Linked DNA regions of Oryzias latipes. The protein of the gene in region 1 binds, or shares a complex with, the protein of each later gene. Links are inferred from orthologs where the notes say so. Each region holds a gene or a part of one and is shown in the gene's direction. Other genes may lie near its edges.

Evidence for each region. The genes of interacting proteins can lie anywhere in the genome.
Region 2: coq7 (region 1) and coq4 share a complex: the UniProt entries of both Homo sapiens proteins name them as parts of the multi-subunit COQ enzyme complex. The link is inferred for Oryzias latipes from reciprocal best matches to the Homo sapiens genes COQ7 and COQ4.

Annotation. Positions count from the first base shown.
Region 1 is NC_019859.2:30,577,126-30,580,881, reverse strand, and holds the start of coq7 (5-demethoxyubiquinone hydroxylase, mitochondrial), read left to right. Parts: upstream 1-965; 5' UTR 966-1,014; coding exon of another isoform or gene 1,015-1,038; 5' UTR 1,039-1,102; coding exon 1,103-1,184; intron 1,185-1,472; coding exon 1,473-1,651; intron 1,652-2,515; coding exon 2,516-2,630; intron 2,631-2,763; coding exon 2,764-2,903; intron 2,904-3,756. UniProt on the Homo sapiens protein: Catalyzes the hydroxylation of the 5-methoxy-2-methyl-3-(all-trans-polyprenyl)benzoquinone at the C6 position and participates in the biosynthesis of ubiquinone.
Region 2 is NC_019870.2:12,291,755-12,295,186, forward strand, and holds the end of coq4 (ubiquinone biosynthesis protein COQ4 homolog, mitochondrial), read left to right. Parts: intron 1-515; coding exon 516-612; intron 613-713; coding exon 714-816; intron 817-912; coding exon 913-1,042; intron 1,043-1,287; coding exon 1,288-1,381; intron 1,382-2,456; coding exon 2,457-2,634; 3' UTR 2,635-2,921; downstream 2,922-3,432. UniProt on the Homo sapiens protein: Lyase that catalyzes the C1-decarboxylation of 4-hydroxy-3-methoxy-5-(all-trans-decaprenyl)benzoic acid into 2-methoxy-6-(all-trans-decaprenyl)phenol during ubiquinone biosynthesis.

The DNA of each region.
Region 1 (3,756 bases):
TTACTGAAAGAAGGAAAAATACTTTTTGCTTTATTTGCTGAAGTGGGATTTCTGCCAAACCAAATTCTTTTGCTGCTGGATGTTTTATTACTCATCCATCTTCTAAACCCTTTTGTCCTTTTCTGGCTTTTCTGCTGGAGCCTATCCTGGCAACTTGTGGGCGAAGGCAGGGAACATCCCTGACAAGTCGCCATTCTGTCGCAGGGTCACCCAAATCAAACACCCATGAACACTCACATTCCCACCTACATGCTTCATTAGTGAAAGTTTAATCACTAAACTTGTTAAAAAGTTTAAAATGTCTGCACTTCAAGAGACAAACTATCTTTATCCAGTCTACAACCATGGTAAGACTTCCCTCTTTACACCTCACACCTCCCTAGGAAGCCTAGGAGGAGGAAAAAGGTAAAGCAAAAAAAAAAAAAAAAAGAAGGATAAAGAAATCGAAGAATTAGATGAAATTAGGAAGTAAGGGTACGAAAAAAATAAATTAGCTAAGAGATTTATATTACATTAACATTTATTCTAAAAAAGGCTCCCTGCCTTCTCTGGATCATTCAATTTCTTCAACTTCATTTCAGGAAACACTGTCATTTCAGGAGACACTGTCCAACTGACCTGGTCATTCACTTTGCACTAACACAGGTAAGATGGATGTTTTTGCAAATCCTATGTGTACCTGTCTGTGTGCACAAGAAAATACCAGTTGGTGTGATTTGTGACTTAAGTCCTCTATAATTCCTGTTAATTTGTACTTAATACTTGTAAGTAGTTGTGTGGATACCGTGTGACGGTGCGTATGTGTCAAGGTAATTAACAAATGCGTTAATAATTATTGTAATAATCCATAATAAACCCATTGTGACCCGCATTCCACACCTGTAGGTGGCGGTAACGCGCCTTTACGCGGTATGCCTTCCGCCATCAAACTACAAAGGAAGAAGAACAAGGGGGGATGGCTCAGAGCGCGATGACGTCATAGACACCAGTCACGTGCCCGTCTTGCGACGCTCAATGTCATCCTACACGCTTAATTTCGTAAGTTTTTTCTTTTCTTTTCTTTAACTTATAGCGCAGGTAGTTGAAACATTTAAAAACTAGCATGCAGAAGATTACGCAGAGGACACTTTCAAACTGCTCCCGCCGGCTTCTCTGTCCCGCAACGTTTCAGCAGAAATGTGGAGGTAAGGGATTGATGCTTATGCTAACATGCTAAAAACATGTAACGTGCTAATGATGTAACTTTGACTTAAGTAACTTTGACTCACTTAATGATGTGTTCTGCATACATATAACGTCGGTGTTATGGTTGTCTATGCCACGTTTTACACAAACAGAACTGTTAGTTAATACGATTCTGGTTCCTTTGGTCCAGAGTCTCCCCACTGTTTGACGCCCATTGTTGCCCTAGTACTGCAGCTGTGAATTGTAACAGGTTATGACTTTTATTTTGTTATTATTTTTTTAATCAGCGTCCCTGCAGTTCGGCGCGCGCGCCTATAGCGTTGTTCCAACGCCTCGCGACAAGGAGGAGAAGGAAATGGTCCACCGCATCTTGCGCGTGGACCATGCTGGGGAATTTGGTGCGAACCGCATTTACGCGGGCCAGATGGCAGTGTTGGGCCGTTCAAAGATCGGACCTCTCATCCAGGTATCGAACACTCACGGCACGAGACACGTTTGAACGGGAGGGGGCGGGGACATCAAAGATGAACACGTGGTTTGTTTAATTAAATGTCAATCCACCTCAAATACGCAGTACAACCCCAGAGAAATTCCAAAAACAATTGATCTAAATCAGAAATAAATATATAAATTCTATTAAACTTAAAATGAACCTTTTAAAAAAGTTTACCCTGAATTATGTGAGACAAACACTTGAAGACTGCTGGGCAGAGGGATCTTGGCTGCAGAAGCCCTTGACTGAAGATTTCCCATTCTAACAGCAGACCTGCGTTACAGCAGAGCTGTGGAAACGCTCAGTGTTATCTAAGTTGTTCTCCATATCCCAAAATAATCTTCATCAGAAGTTCAGATATGGAAGTCATCAATACCTCAGATATGCAGTTGGAGAGCACGTCTATCCAACCAACCATTATCTTGAACCACTGTATCTCTTTTGGGGTCACTGTTGGGTGACCCACTGGACAGGTCGCCAGTCTGTTGCAGGGCCACACAATCACTTCCACACACACTCGCACATGTAGGGACAATGCAGGGTAACCACTCAACCTATGAAGCACGTTTTTGGACGTATAAAGTATAAACCTCAGAGCCTCAGAGATCGAGTTGTCTTAAATAACTGATATTTCATGATATTATCTATATTATCATATATGTGAATATAGTTTACTCTGAAAGGCTTAAGAAAAGCATGATATTGGCCCTTTTAAGTCTCTTCATAAAGCTGGGTTTGTTTTTCTGACATTTAAAAAATGTCAAAAGATTAAAAAAAAAAAACATCTGCTCACGCATTCTTTCAGCTGTATCCTTTTTGCTGTCTGTTTTTCTTTAGCAAATGTGGGATCAAGAAAAGAAGCACTTGGCAAAATTCAATGAAATTCTTTCAGAGAACAGAGTTCGTCCCACAGCACTGCTGCCTTTCTGGAACATTGCGGGGTTTGTATTAGGTCAGTAGAGTCCATAAGCATGCATGTTTCAGATGAAGAAATGACAGAATAATGCTCCGTTTTATAGAAATCCAGTTTACAACATTTACAACGATGCTTTGGACATGTATGTGACCCATGTTTAATCCTTAAGGGGCCTCTACTGCGCTGTTGGGAAAGGAAGGAGCTATGGCCTGCACTGTGGCCGTGGAGGAGAGTATTTCTGAACACTACAACAGCCAGATAAGAGTTCTCATGGAGAAGGACCCAGAGCGGTACACTGAGCTGCTGCAGGTGAGCGGTGAACTTCTGTAGCAGAAAAATAGACAGGCCTATTTTCAGCGATGTTAGCATCTAGCAGCCAAACGGGCTGTTCTGGAGTCCATGTAGTGATTATGTAGAAGAAACTGCCGGTAGCTATAAGCTATTCACTCGGAGTGGTACACACCCAAAAATAAGACAAAACTGTGCCTGTGTGACCAAGTTTCCATCCTTATTTAGAGCTGTGACGGTGTGGGATTTTTGATCACCGCGGTGATGAACCAGCAGGGGGCGCGGTGTCGCGGTCAAAACAGGACTAGCAGAAAAGTAAATTATCCGCAAAGATGCATGTGTTCAATGTGTTTATTAAAGTTCCAATCACGCACCATATGCAGAACTTAAAAAAAATAAAAATAAAAGTGCTATGATGAGGTCATCACCGCGGTGATGTGGTGATGTTATCGTCACACCCCCATCCTTATTGCATTTTAGTTTTCTGAAGTTAAATCAGAGTTCATCTTGGATCGAAAACAAACCATTTTATTTATAGGTTTCCATGTTTTGTCAGATGAACTGCAGTTTTTTCCCTCTCACTGCCCCATGCAGAGGAGCCAGTAGTAGGGGGTCCTGGACCTGGAACATTCGCTCTTTAAAACAAAACTGGGACACAAAGTTAGTACAAACAAGTGATGCTGATGTGACTTCCTTGGTTTATAGGGTGTAATGATTTATTTGAACAACAATCTGATTCATAAAATAATTTGTGGGCATTGAAATGATTCAAAATCAATATTGGTTCATTTTGTGTACAAGTAAACAAATCACATTTTAGTTTTCCTAAAGCTCAGACCCGCTGTTGTTTTTCCAAATCAAAATAATCCAAATT
Region 2 (3,432 bases), on another chromosome or scaffold:
AAGGGGAAGTATTTTTTTCCCCCATCATTCATTTACCTGAAGTTTTGCCACTTATATCCTCTTCCCATGTACTAGCAAACAGACTGGAACATTCCTGTCATTTATTTCATTTCCCCAGAAATGTTCATGAAAACTATAAATGGCACATGAAGCCAGCTGCTGCATTTGAAACCACACTAACAGGAACACATGTTCACACCTGTCAGCTGGCATTCAGTCATGAGTTTAGACCTCACGTAATGCTCTACTCCTGACTGCAGTTATGTGCAGCACGCGACCTCTTCTGTTTTACTTCCCCCAAAATATTTCCTTTGGCGGTGATGCTTGGAAAAACCTAAAGGAATTGTTGAAATTCCTGGAAAGTATTTCAACTTTGCAGTGACAGCATAGAACACCATGATAAGTGGTACAAATGACTCAATCCTGTAGAAATCGGACATTTCAAGGCAGCAATTACATTTTTTTAAATTTATGTTGTATTATTTCGGTTTTCATGTGCCGCTCTGCAAACTCAGACATGGTTGCAGTCCTTGGAGAAACCACAGGTCACCTCGCTCTCGTCAGCCTCAGGGACAGAATGAGAAATGACCCTGAAGGCCTCACGATCCTAACGTAAGTCCCTCTTATCTCAGTCTTTCAAAGTTTAAAGATATCTTCCTGTTGAGTGAACAGGCATGGATTATGTCCTGATGTGATCTGAAATGATTCTCCAGAGAAAGACCACGGATTCGTCTCTCCACTCTAGACCTGAAAAACATGGCCTCCTTACCCGACGGGTCTTTCGGAAGAGAATATCTCCGTTTTCTGGAGGACAATGTGAGCGATGGCCTTGGCGTCAAACACTGTGTTGATGCTTCTCTTGTTACGTCTTGGCTTCATGTTTTGCTTTCATCTGTACCGTTTCCATCACAGAGCGTGACCCCAGACTCCAGAACACAGGTGAGGTTTGTGGACGATGAAGAGTTGGCCTACGTCATGCTAAGATACAGAGAGGTTCATGACTTGATGCACACGTTGCTGGGAATGCCCACGAATATGCTGGGTGAGTCTGCTCTGCAAAAAAACATGTCATGAGACGATGAAGATCTACAACACCTTTTTAGTTGCATTTCATTTTTAGAAAGCGGATAACTGATTATTAGTCAGCTAGATTCATGTGATTGAGCACAGATTTGCTCACTTCTGTTTTCCTCCATAAATTTCACATAAATTGATGCGCTTGGCAAAGCAGGACTTATTATATTTGTTGCTTACTGATTCCTCTTTCGTATGTTTCTTTCATTATAGGTGAGGTGGTAGTGAAATGGTTTGAAGCGGCACAGACGGGTCTTCCGATGTGTGCTTTGGGAGCTGTGTTGGGCCCACTTCGACTTAATGCAAGGTATCTATACAGCATTGGACCATGCCATCATATCCCATCCAACTGTATTGTAAGCACTTTAAAAACAACTTCATTGTGTCCAGACCGCCACAAAACGACATGAAAACCAGACCAAACCAAATCAAACATAGGACAAATAAAATGCAAGAATTTATGACAAAATGAGATCAAATTAATAAAATGCCCATTTAAAAGCTAAATAAAAGACTTGGGTTACAGGAGAAGACCTGAAAGCAGAAAGATAAGGTTTTTTCTGATCCAGAGTAACTTTTATTGTGGGAGTTAAACAGTCAGTCTGATAAGAGCAGCTGACCTCAGGGGGGGAGCAGGAACACTAAAAGAGTAGCAGCTCTGTGAGGTAAGTACGGTAGTTGCCTAACCATTTATTGATTTAAAAGTGAATAAAATAAGCCCATAACTACTGGGCAGCCAGTGGAATGACGCTAAAATAGAAAAAAACCTATTCTTGCTTTTGTGTGCTAGTTAAAAAACGTGCATGTACTTGCACTTTGTACCAAATGCAGTAAATATCTATGACCTCAGTTGGAAAGTCCAATGTTTGCACAACAAAATGCGTTTTGCCTTTTCATACAGACTAAGAGTCAGTTTGATCTGCATCGGTCATTTTAACACTTTAAGATTTAAGACATGTCGACACAGCAACAAATTCATTTATTTTTAATGCTAATAAAGGATTTCAAATCTTTTGATGTCAACATATCAAACGAAGTAATATAAATTTTTTAAATTGTTATTGAGGGCAGTTGTAAGTGACAGAGATGTCCCAGCATCCTTTGCATTGTCGAGAATAATGCAAACCTGATGAAAAAAAAATGTAATTGAATAAAGTTTTCTAATTTTTTGGCTACAGATCCTTCTTTTTCCAAATGTTCATCATAGTAAGAGGAAGTTAGTTTTATTTTACCTGTAAATCATTACGTTTTCCTCAGTTACAATAGGAGTGTCCCTGATAAACTGGTTATGTTGTGGAAACAAACTCACTGTTGGTTTTAACTGCCATGTCAGGACTAAGCTGTATTTCCTGCTTTTCATTTGTTTATTTTTTACTTTCCAGGCGTCTACAATCACTGTTCACCTCTTTGGGTCCTTGGGCTTTGCGGAACGGGAGGAGAGGCCGTTGTGTCCTCAGCATTTTCTACGAGAGACGATGGGATCAGAACCTTGAGGATCTCCGGCAGGAGCTCCACATTGAGCCTCCTCCTGCCACGCTCCACCCATCAAGGAAGACCTGAAATAACTTAGGGAAATGGGGGCTGACATTTAAAGATAGCATAGAGGAACGTTAGTGGCTACTGATCGGAAATAGTTTGAGTATGTTGCCGTGGGAGTTTTTTTTATAAGGATGTAATTAATTGGAGAGGAAGTACGGTAGGAAACTCTAGTCTTTGCTAATTCTGGCTTGTTCCAGCTCAAGCCCTAGTTTGTCCCCATAACCTTTGATCTGGTGAATCACCAACTGTGAATCATGTCAGTATAATGCATCATGTGGTTTAAATAAAATATGATAAATTATTTAAAAGGTGCCCTTCTTTTTCTCATTTGCAGGTGAAAACCACCTACAATCTTAATGTGATGCAATCTAAATGAACTAATTAAGTTGGAGTGAAACCAAATGAAACCCAAATGCAGTATACAAATGTGTAATTTGACTAGAATAGCACTGATAGTTGGGTAAATGTTTTTCTCTTCAAAAGAACAAGTCTAGGCTCAAACGTTTCCATATTTTTCTGGCTTCATATTTCATTGAGAAATGACAATATCTATTACATTCATGAAGGGTTTTGTACACTAAAGGTAACATTTTAAATATCTCAAAGCTTGACAAATGAACTACAGAATTAGAATTATCGATGTGTTGGGAACAGGTCTCGCTATGACAGTGTTCAAGTACCAAAATATTTGAACTCAGAAACTACAGATTTTAATAAGGATTAGTCTTTGAATTATGTTTTTATATAGCAATATTTCATTTGGCTTTGCTTTCACATTAGATGGACTTCCTGACACATCCATCCCTTTTGTAAACCCAC